Elephas maximus indicus: one gene and its partners. The protein of the gene in region 3 interacts with the protein of the main gene of each other region in a biochemical or structural test. Links are inferred from orthologs where the notes say so. Each region holds a gene or a part of one and is shown on either strand. Other genes may lie near its edges.

The links.
Region 1: of the proteins of RANGAP1 (region 3) and USPL1, one has a biochemical effect on the other in vitro, tested with the Homo sapiens proteins (2 studies listed by BioGRID). The link is inferred for Elephas maximus indicus from reciprocal best matches to the Homo sapiens genes RANGAP1 and USPL1.
Region 2: the proteins of RANGAP1 (region 3) and E3 SUMO-protein ligase RanBP2-like form a complex in vitro, tested with the Homo sapiens proteins (5 studies listed by BioGRID and IntAct, with this or other methods). The link is inferred for Elephas maximus indicus from reciprocal best matches to the Homo sapiens genes RANGAP1 and RANBP2.

What each region holds. Positions count from the first base shown.
Region 1 is NC_064841.1:63,260,554-63,264,299, forward strand, and holds the start of USPL1 (SUMO-specific isopeptidase USPL1), read left to right. Parts: upstream 1-1,104; 5' UTR 1,105-1,310; intron 1,311-3,746. UniProt on the Homo sapiens protein: SUMO-specific isopeptidase involved in protein desumoylation. Specifically binds SUMO proteins with a higher affinity for SUMO2 and SUMO3 which it cleaves more efficiently. Also able to process full-length SUMO proteins to their mature forms.
Region 2 is NC_064835.1:77,083,073-77,086,818, reverse strand, and holds the start of E3 SUMO-protein ligase RanBP2-like, read left to right. Parts: upstream 1-882; 5' UTR 883-999; coding exon 1,000-1,071; intron 1,072-3,746. UniProt on the Homo sapiens protein: E3 SUMO-protein ligase which facilitates SUMO1 and SUMO2 conjugation by UBE2I. Involved in transport factor (Ran-GTP, karyopherin)-mediated protein import via the F-G repeat-containing domain which acts as a docking site for substrates.
Region 3 is NC_064822.1:185,455,279-185,459,024, reverse strand, and holds the start of RANGAP1 (ran GTPase-activating protein 1), read left to right. Parts: upstream 1-1,583; 5' UTR 1,584-1,833; intron 1,834-3,746. UniProt on the Homo sapiens protein: GTPase activator for RAN. Converts cytoplasmic GTP-bound RAN to GDP-bound RAN, which is essential for RAN-mediated nuclear import and export. Mediates dissociation of cargo from nuclear export complexes containing XPO1, RAN and RANBP2 after nuclear export.

The DNA of each region.
Region 1 (3,746 bases), on a different chromosome or scaffold from region 3:
TTCCACTAAGGCATTTCTTGGTACCTGAGGTTTGTTTCCTCCGTATTATCCTATCAAAATTACCAGTATTCCAAAATATAATCACTTCAGACCACTGAAAAATCTAAAATCCCCTAAAACACATAATCCAAAATGCCCAACGTGGTTACTCTACTGTGTAATGAAATGGTCAGAAACGACGCTGTTACCCTGTAACACAGAACTAGGAGCTCAGAAGGACTTCTGCAATATGCTGCCCCCAAGATTTAGTATGCAGGCTCAGAAAGAGCACACGCAGTCACGATGCCCCTTAAGCCACATGACCGTCCTAGAAAGCAGAACCTTAAACGTATCAACTAGAGGAGAACTGCCTGTCTCTGAAGTTAAAACTAGGCAAGGGCAGCTGCAATTCGCGCAGCAGGGCAGATGGGCCGCTGACTAGTGAAAACGGGTGATGGACAGCTAAGGCCCTGTGCTCCGGCTGCTCCCCTTACCGTTGGACGATCTGGGAGGGAGGCTAGGTGAAACACCCCCAAAACCCTGGCCGCAAAGCCCCTGGCCGCAAAGGTGGGCTGTGGGGAGACAGGGGCAGCTCCGTGTGTGGTGGCCCTTTGTGAACGCGCACTCTGCGGCAGCTCGGATCTCACCGAGCCTTTAGGAGGGTGGACCGGGGCTGCCTCGCGCGGCCGAGGCGTGGAGCACACGGCGCCGCAAAGACAGGCCTGCGGAGACCCGCCATCGCAGCCTCCGCCCGGCTCGGGGGCCCTCCCTGTCCCAACCACCCCGGCCGCGCTGGGGACCGTCGGCTCCAACCCCAGCACCCGCGTGACGAGCCGCGCACCGGACTCTTTCCTCAGCGTAATCCCTCCGCTGCAGGCCGCGCACTAGTTTTAATCACGCCTCCCCCCTCCCGGCGTCACCTCCGCCCCTCGAGCGCCTTCCAGCAGCTTCCAGAAACGTCGCCTCCCCAAACCTAGCCACTCACACATGGCGGGCTCTGCAGTCCCCGGCCCCGCCCCTAATCGTCGCCGCAGCTGAAACTGCCGCTGCGGCAGCCGGGCGGACAGCCACGCCTCTGCGGAGCCCGACCGGAAGTGCACCCTTCTAGCCTTCCCCGCCAGGGCTTCGTCCTTTCAGGCCCCGCGCGCAGCAGGAAGGGGAACTCTTTTGCCGCGGACTGAAACCGGAAGCTGCTCACCGAAAGGGCCCGCTGGTGGGGGAGGAGCAGTCCGAGGGAACGTGAGGTGAACGTTGCTGTGGGTGTTGTGGGGCTCAAACTGGAACAGGAGTCCGGATCGAGCCGGTGTGAAGAAGGGGAGTGCCCGCGGCAGGTAAGGGGGAGGAAGGAGTAGTTCCCTTCAGCTCTCGAGATAGGAAATGAGGAAGTAGTTTGCACGCGGGGAAGGTGGGCTAGGTGGGAGGGGCAGGGCTGCGACTGGGTTCGCGTGGGAAGGGTTGATGCTTAAGGTGTCGTTTGGGCTCAGAGAGGTAAACGCTGAAGAGAAACCAGAGTTCGTTCCCTCTTCCAAGGTGCGTGGAGATGAGGGTTAACGGAACCCCACGCCTCCTCGGGTTTCCAAGGTTCGGATTCGAAACTGACCTCTCTTGGTTCTACGCGCCTCCGATTCGGGACGTCGGGGTTCGGTACCAGACTGCTCTGGGCGCTGAAGGCCGACCCCATTCCTCTGCTTTTTGTCGGTTGTGGCTTCGTGTTTTGACTGAGTGCTGAATGCACTTGGTTTCGGAGCGCACATTCAAGAGGGTATAAGGCCCCTCTCCGAACTGCTCTTTCTCCGAGTGTCCTCATTTTGCACACGGGACTGTGAATTACGTTTAATTGCACGTGTTTCGGGGTTCCCAGGGCCAACTTTACACGTCGTTGGCACCGCATACTGGGCTAGTCGTTCACATTAGGGCTCCTGGAGGATCAGTGGCTCACAGAAGTGTGAAAAGGAGGTGGTAAAAGAAAGGGGCTGAGGGTGAAGTGGAGTAGAGGAAGATGAGGCTGGAAAGCTAGATTGCCGTCGCAGTGCAACGAGCTTTAGGTCGGAAGGCTACCTTTAGGTTGTATTGATCTGTTTGGACTTTCCAATAATCGGCATGGAGTAAATAGATAACTTTGAGCTGAGCTGTGACAGAATCAGACTTGTTTTGTGGGAGCATCACCTTGGCAGTGATACAGAGTGGGGATGGGATGGACAGAGGTGGGATTTGGGACATTTCCAAGGTAAAGCCACAGAATTTGGTGAGTTACTGCGTGAAGCAGAGGGATTTTGCAGAGTAGAACGACTCAAATATTCTAACCTGTGTGCTTGGAAGGTTGGAGATACCAAAATTTGGGTGAGATATATATATATATATATATTTTTTATAGGAAGAGGAGCCAATTATTTTTGAAGGAGGGCGGCAGTGAGGGCATTTTTTTAGGGACAAATTAAGTTGTAGCAACCACTCTTAGGATTTTGCATCCTAGGACAAAATAATTGTGTTTGAAGGAAAATCTGAATAGTCCATCTCCGGCATTTTTTTAAGTGAGTGTTTTCTGGGGGAGTTTTGCATATTTCTGGGTTTCAGGACTTCAACTACCAGCCTACCTGCTTTCCTCATTGACATGTGGGTGGTGGGATCAGGAGAGCAGATTTGGAGGCTTGATTTTGGATATTCAGCGTCCTGGTGGTGCAGTGGTTAAGAGCTCAGCTGCTAACCAAAAGGTTGGCGGTTTGAATCCACCAGGCTCCTTGGAAACCCCGTGGGGCAGTTGTACTACAGGGTTATAGGGCTCTATTGGGTTGCTGTGAGTTGGAATCGACTCATCAACAGTGGGCTTGGTTTTGGTTTTCTCCATGTTTTAGTTTACTTTTATAATTGAGAGAGAGAGAACCATCCAAAAAAAAGCTTTCTAGATTTCTCAGGCAAATGAAAATTTTTATCAAAAATAATTTATTCGTGGTTAAGTCACCTCCTAGTTTTTCTTTTGAGAATATTGTAGGATGATGCAAGGTGTACTGCATATTTTCTACATAGAGCGAAGTGTAAAATTAGCACCAGATAAATAGTAGCTGCAACTTACTATGTGTCAGATGCTGTGTTAAGCATTTTCCATGCGTTACTTCATTTAGTTCTTAGAATAATCCAGTTTTACAACAAGAAATTTCTGAACACAGAACGGCAGATGCAAAGCCAATGCTTTTTAGCTACTCTGGAACTCCAGAAGTTTGAGCCGTTCTTGTATGGTTACCTTTGTAAGTAAATTATAAATAGAACAAACCGAAGGTAATAAACAAGTTGGTCCTGTGGCAGTGGTTCCTTACGGGCTGGTTTTGCCTCCAGGGGACATTTAGCAATGTCTGGAGATACTTTTGATAGTTACAGTGTGGGGTGGGGTGGGAAATGCTACTGGCATCCAGAGGATACAGGCCAGGGATGCTGCTGAACATTCTACAGTGCACTGAACAACCCTACAACAAATAATTATCAGGTCCAAAATGCCTGTAGTGCAGTGGGGATGTTTCCTCAGAAGTAGGAAATTGGGATTCATTAATACTAACTTGGAGCCCTGGTGGCGGAGTGGCTGAGATCAGCTGCTGACCAAAAGGCTGGCTGAATGAATCCACCAGCTGCCCCTTGGAAACCTATGAGGTGCTTCTACTCTGTTTTATAGGGTCGCTATGAGTCAGAATTGAGTCAACAGCAACGGGTTTTTTAATACTAACTTTCTTAAAAGTACTTTTATTTTTAAAATCATTATTTGTCCTGAAAGGTGTGTG
Region 2 (3,746 bases), on a different chromosome or scaffold from region 3:
AGTTAAAAATTTTAACAGATTTCATTTGATATTTTCCCACATAATTAAGACCCCACTGTATGCACAAATGTAATCTCTTGTAAACCTAAAAATGTCTTCACCATTGAAAACATTTTAAGCCTTGTCTTAAAAGTATGATTTTAAGATTCAAAATCCAGAAGTAAACATAGGGGGAACACAGGTGTCCCACTATTTTGAGGTGTCTTTCACAGTGTGCCTATAAGGGTCCTGTCCCTCTCGCCACATCCTTCCTCACCCCTAGCACTCGGAGATTGTTATCCTACTCTTCTACTAAAATCATATATTTTTTTTTTTTGGACGATCACAGTTTTGTTAAACATATATGTAAACAAAACTCTGATCGTCCTATCTGACCTATATGTTAATAGGTCTCAAAATGTACTCTTTTATATAAAAGCGTGACTTTTAAAACGTATGCTTCGTATTCACACGTATCAGAATAATATATTTAACCAATCGCCTCCAGAATGGTTGTTCCAATTTACCAAAATGGCGAGACTGGTGGTTCTTTCCACAGCATTACGTAATTACAACGAAGAACGTAGGAACAAGACTTCGAAGAACTCAAAACATCCTGCTGATCTAGTTAAGAGTCCTGGGATCATACGTGGTACTGGATAGTTTTCCCCACGCCTCCTCCGGCGAGAGCCCTGCCGCCGAAAGCCGGAATCTGAGCCTGGCTCCGGTAGGCTGGTGTGCGGAGACCCGGCGGCCCGGCCGAGCCCCAGCGCGGCGGGAGGGCGGCCAGCGGGCGCGGCGGGCTGTGCGCAAGCGGAAGTCCGCGGGGCTGGCCGGAGGCCTCGCTGCCGTGGCCGGCGTGGCGCACAGTGCTGATGCAACACGCACGCACGTCCGGCCGCTCCTCAGCCGGCGACGACGCTGCGTCACGCGCTTTTGGGCGCTTCGTCCCCACAGACGGCCGAGCGCTGCGGGCCCCGAGGCTGGTCTCCCGCGCACCGGGAGCCAGGACGGGGCGCGATGAGGCGCAGCAAGGCTGACGTGGAGCGGTACATCGCCTCGGTGCAGGGCTCTGTCCCGTCGCCCCGAGAGGTAGGACGCCCCGGGGAGACGTGGGCCTCTGGCCCTGGCCCGGCTGCGGCCCGCGGCCCCGCGTCGGCTTCATGGCCCCCGGCCGGCCGCCGCTGCTTCGCGCGTTCCGTTGAGGCGGCGGCCGATCGCGCGGGCGCTGGGTTGCGTGGCGCTCGCGAGAGTGCGGGCGGACGGGGGGCGCGTGTCGGGGGCGAAGGAGCCGGGGCCGCGCGGGGCCTCGCGGCGGGGCAGCGGCCGGTGGCGCCGGCGCTTCCTCTTCCTGCTGGCCGGCGCCGAGCGTCCTCGCTTGCGGACCCGCCCTGGCCCTTGTTCCCTCGGCCGCCAGCGCTCCGCGGTGGGCTCTCGCCGCCGCTGTGCCCCCGCTTGGCGCCCCGGTGCCAGCTCCGGCGGGATTCTTTAGTCTCCGGGATTGTTAGCTCCCCGACCGCGGCGGAGGCGGCGGCACCTCCCAGGCTGGAAGTTGGTGGGACCCAGCGGGGACTGACGCAGCTCCGGGAGGGCTTTTCCTCGGGCCGGAGCAGGGGCTACCGCTACATTTGCGACTGCTTGACGCACAGCGCAGGTGACAAGGGATGGTCTCCTGTTTTGAGGTGTCCTGCACAGTGCTTCTAAGAGCCGGGTCCCTCTCATCATGTCCTTCACCACTCCTAGCTCTCTTTAGAAGCTTCTTTCGTTTGCTTTTATTGTTCTTTAATGGAATCTTAGGAGTTCTGGATTCCATAGAGAATGTCACTACTGTGACTTAAAAATTTTAACTTTTTACACAACATACTGTTAGGGAACTTTTCCTGTTTTAAGATAAACCATGTATTTTGGATTCAACAGGACTTTAGTGGTCGAACGTGGAGGGTAAGTGTGGCTGTGCAGAGGATCTAGAGTTGGTTTGCCTGAGGTTGAATCAGGGCTCTTAAGCTGTTAAATTGTGGAATTGGGCAAGTTAAACCGTTTTCTCATTAATAAAACGGAGTTGTAACGTTGATAGGATGATCCATATTAAACATTTAAGACAGAGCTTGGCACCTGTTGTTGTGTGCCGTGGATTTGATGTCGACTCACGGCGACGTTGTAGAGCTGCCCCGCAGCGTTTCCAAAGCGGTAATCTTTATGCAAGCAGATGGCCACATCTTTCTCCCAAGGAGCTGCTGGTGGTTGAAACAACCCACCCTGCAAGGTTAGCAGTTGAATTCTTTAACCACTGCGCTACCTGGGCTCCTTTCTTTGGCACACCAAACCCAAAACCAAACGCATTGCCATCGAGTCGATTCTGACTCATAGCGACCTTTGGCACACACTAAGCACTAAACGTTAGTGGCAGTTCATTTTTGTTTTTGACGTGAAAAGGACAGTCATCCTTTTTTTTGGGCAAGGAGGGTCCTATGATGATAAAGATCTGTTTAAAAATTTTAAAAGAGTTTTTAGAAAAGCAGAACTCTTGGATTATCATGATTGTAATAGCAACATAGTTGAGTCTCTGTCTATATCCCAGGCTTATGTTATCTTATTTAGTGCTCCCAACAACCCTGTGGATACTGAGACCTGGAGAGGTTAAAGATACAGTTTAGCTTAAGAGCCTTGTCATTCTTCAGGAGGGAATGAATAGGTATCTACATCTAATTGTAATTTTGAACTGCCGCATAGTCAGAAGTATTACCGGGCTGGCAGTGTCTACAAAGGACCTTCTTAAGGATTTCTGTACTCTCTGAAATTCGTAAGCCTTTTTCGTTGTTGTTTGTCTTGTTCTCAGTAAGAAGACACTGGCTTCCAAAATATTAAGAACTGCTGGACTAGGCAGAAGTTAGAGGGTATGGAAAATGACCTTTCAGCTACCTAATCTTTCCATCCAATAAAGTGAAGATGGGTGCAAAGTCTTAAGGATTGTTATTACGGTCACCTTTGTCATACACTCAAAGAATATTATTTTAATCAGATGTTTTCTTCAAAGAAGGTGAAGAAAAAGAAGGTTTAGAGCCTGAGAATGTCAGCGGGGTATGGATTAGCAAGTGAGTAACTTTGGAACATGCGAAGCCACTCTTTAAGCTTAGGTCTGAGTGAAATGACAAGATAGGGTGCTTTGAACAACTTAAGGAGCCCTGGTGGCATGGTCCTTAAGTCCTGGCCTGCTAACGGAAAGGTCAGCAGTTTGTACCTACCACATGCTCTGTGGGAGAAGGTTATGGCAGTCTGCTTCCATAAAGATTTACAGCCTTGTAAACCCAATGGGGCAGTTCTGCTTTGTTCTGTAGGGTTGCTAGGAGTTGGAATCCACTTGACAGCAGTGGGTTTGGGTTTGGTTGGACAACTTGGAAGGAGAGATGGGGGGAGCAGAGACAGTAGCAGAGTAGAAAGGGGTCTTAGTGTTTACTTCACTCATTTTGGTAGAGGCTGGTCATGTGTGAACTGACCATCCTTTTTAGGATGTTCAGGTTTTGGAGCGTGTTGATGGATCCATAATCTCTTATCTTCCTGGTCTTCCATTGTACTTTCATTTGCGTATCTCTTTATTTTACCTTTTTTCTACTCTTTCACGCTGCTTTTGCCCTTGTTGAAGACATCAGCCACCTGTTGTTGTTGGGTGCCATCGAGTCAATTCTGACTCACAGAGACTCCATTTGACAGAGTACAGCTGCCCCACAGAGTTTTTTTGGCTGCATTTTTTATGGAAGCAGGTCACCAGG
Region 3 (3,746 bases):
CTCCTTGGCTATGCCCACAGGCAGGCCTCTCTCTGGCCCTCGGTCTCTACCCTGCTGGGGCAAGAGTTACAAAACTCTTTTAGCTCTGCTGATAAGTGTCCAGGGGCACCCCAATCTGCCAGTGAGCTTCCTGTCTGAAGGTGCTCCATTTTCTCAACCTGTGGGCTGGGAAGCCCACTGCACCATCTCCTGCCGGTTTCCTAGTTCTGCTGCCCCAGCCACCGCTTCTGTGCCACCGCTTCTCTGCCGCCATCTTCGGGTGTTACAGTGGTCTCTGTCTCCTGGATCTAGGAGGTTCTCTGTGCAAGAATCCTGGGTCCAAAGGACATGCTTTACTCCTGGCTCTTCTTTCTTGGTGGTGGTGAGAACCTGCCTTCCCACCTCTAAGAGGGCTCATTTTAAGCCTAGCAGGATGACAAAACTGGCCAATCCCCCCCTTAGGGTTTATTTGCATGGCCCCACCCCTACAAGGGTGCCCTGTGCCTTATTTACATTATTAGCAGGCTATCCAATCCCTTTGATGGGCTACAAGCATCTTATTTGTCTAGTTCCACTCAGTCATTTGGTGGGAGTTACAAAGACTATGGGTAGAAGGACCATATTAAGTAACTCACTGCACTGCACTTACATAACCTAGTACGATAATCAAAATTAGAAGACTTAACCCTGGTACAATAAAAAACTATTTAATATACAGTCAAATTTGCTGATTGTCTCAACATTGTCCTTTATAGCACCCCCCCTTCCAGCAACCAATCCAACCACTTATTGCATTTAGTTGTTGTGTCTTTGTAGTCTATGACCTGCAACAGTTTCTCATTTTTTATTTCTTTCCTGACACAGACATTTTTGGGAGAGTACAGAACAGTTATTCTGTAGCATGTCCCTCAGTTTTGGTTTGTCCGATGTTTCCTCATGATTAGATTCATTTTTTGTGCCGTTGACAGGATGGTGATGCTGCGTCTTCTCTGTGCATTACATCTGAGTCGCAAGAGGTCAGTTCGTCCTGTCTGATGTTAACGTGGACCCCTTGGTTAAGGTGGTGTCCGCAGTATCTCTCCTACAGAGATCGTATTTCCTTTTTTTACTTTTTAATAACTTGTGGCTATTTATGTGAAAGTCTTCGAATTTCCTTTCGATATTATGCGACAAAAAAGACGAGTCTTTTCTTTCAAGAAACGGATATCTATTTGTTGCTGAAAACATCCAGCAGCGTGCCTCTGGCAGCCCCAGCCTTTGTCAATAAAGTTATGAGAACAGGAGCCTTTCAGGAAAGGCGGAGAGGGGCCCGCCGCAAGGCATTAGGGGAATTGTAGTCTCTCTGGGAGTTCCCGGTTAAGCGCCGCCCTGTGGTCTCCGAGAGAATGAGCCAGAAGCCGAAATGGGAGGGCGAAGAGGGAGAGGCGGGGGGAGGGGGGGGCACTCTGGAATGCAATGAATCATGGGTGTGGTAGTTCATAGTGCCCGCTCCTGCCGCGCCTGCCTCCCCCGCGCAGGAGAACTAGACTACCCTACCCGATAGGCCACGCGCGCGGGGGATGGAGAAGCCGGCCTGGGCCTCGAACAAATCAAATCGAAGGAAAGAAACTGCCGGCTTTCAAAATCCTCCTCCTCCGCCATCATCCGCTGCCGTGTGGGGAGCAGGTGGTGTGGGAGACGTGAGTGGCTAGAAGCTGTGGGAGAGCGGACAGACGTGCGGGCTGGACATCGAGCCTCCAGGACTTAGAGACGGCGACCCCGACCTGACCTGACCCGGACCCTAAATCGCTCCCGGCCCTGCCGGGCTGAGGCGCGCGCTCGGGTCGCCCCACGCGGCGGCTCCGCCTGTTTACGGTAGGCTCGGGGCTCTTTTCCTTTCCCGTCACCTGCCTGGGATGGGAGAGGGGCGACCGGGCGACCTTGGACCTAGGCGAGGACGGTGTCCCCTCGGCCTCCTCCTTCATGCTGGCGACGGCCGAGCGCGGAGGTGAGGTGGGTGGGGTGGGGGGCGCTGGCCCCTTTCACAAAGGGGGAAACTGAGGTTCAGAGAGGACGCCCGACTCGCCCGACCGAGGCCGCCCAGCCCGCAGCTGCCAGCAGTGGCGTCGGTGGCGATCCCGGGTGGGGCTCCCGCGCTGCTCGCCTGTCACCGAAGGCCTGCTTTCACGCGTCGCTCCCCCGTCGCCGCGTCCCCATCGCCCACGGCCCGCGGAGGGCGCTGCAGCCCCCGGGGATCGGTGTGAGTCACGGCTGGCGCTTTTGGGTGAGCGATGCGTTTGCACCTGAGAAAGTCCCTGCGCTCCTGCCGAGAAGGGAGGCGGCTGTTTCCGTATTTACTGGTGGCCTTGGCTCTGCTGCTGATCCCTTGCTGACCTTGAACAAATCAATTCACCTCTGTGCTTCGATGTTTTTCGTCTTTAGAGTGGGTGGGAGGGGTCGACTGGACTGAGTGTGGGCCTCCTTCCAGCTGAGAAGATCTGTGTCCCCGTTCCACCTCGAAGCCCCACCACCAGGCTTCCAGCTTCAAATTGCCCCATCCCAGCCCTGGAAGAGGGGGTGGTGGTAATTTTTATTCAGTTTCATCCAGTCATTCTTCCAGCACTTTCTAAAGGCCAGGCCCTATACCGCAGATAGAGTGATCTGTCAAAACATACCTAAGGGCACATCATGTCCCTCATCACATCCTTCTGCTAGAAACTCCCAGTGGTTTTGTCACTTGGAGTAAGACCCACAGTCCTTAAATGGTCTTCGTGACTTGGGCCTCCTGCTCATACCTCCTTTCTCCCTCCCTCACTGCTCAGCCCCAAGGGGCTCCTCACAGTTCCCCTAACTCCCCTCTCCTTCCCCCACCAAGAGCCTTTGTGTTTGCTGTTCCCTTTACAGGAATCCCTTCCCCAGATACCTGCAGGGTGTAGTCCCTGTAGCCTTCAGATCTTATTGTCTCCTAATAATACTTTCCCTAACCGTTTTTGCTTTAACTTGCAAAAAACTCCTTACTCCCTTTCCTGTTTCTTCTTACCACTAACATACTAAATATCTTATTTAGAACATATGCTTTACAAGGGCAGGCTTTTTGTCTCTTACTGCCGTCCTCTTGGTACTTGGAACCATGTCCAACACAGAGTAAAAACAAAAAAACTGTTGCTGCAGAGTCAATTCCAACTCATGGTGACCCTGTAGGACAGAAGAAAACTGCCCCATAGGGCTCCCAAAACTGTAATCTTTACGGAAGCCAACTACCACATCCTTCACCTGTGGAGTGGCTTCGAACCAGGGGCTTCCAAAACTGTAATCTTTACGGAAGCCAACTACCACATCCTTCACCTGTGGAGTGGCTTCAAACCACTGCTGACCTTTTGGTTAGCAGCCAAGTGCTTAACCACTGCGCCACCAGGGCTCCTTTTAACACAGAGTAGTGATGCATAAACGTTTCTTGAATGAATGAGTGGATGCTTATATCCAGAATAAACCGAGCTTGCCGATAAAGACAAACAGACACAGACAAACCAGGGTAATGAGACTTCAGATCAGGAGAAGGGGGTGGGAAGCTGGCTGTTTGGAGGAGACCTGGGGGTGTGGGAGGATTGGGGAGCTCTCACAGCTGCGTCTTGAGGATGGCTGGATTGGGGGAGGAGTTCTGGGCAGGAGTCTCTCCATGGATACCTCTGAATTCTGAATCATTTATCAGCTCTCTTCCTTGGTCCCCCCTGATTACCTGCCATCTCTTCTTTGGGGAAGTGGAGTTGTCTTTTCTGCCGGTCTGCTGA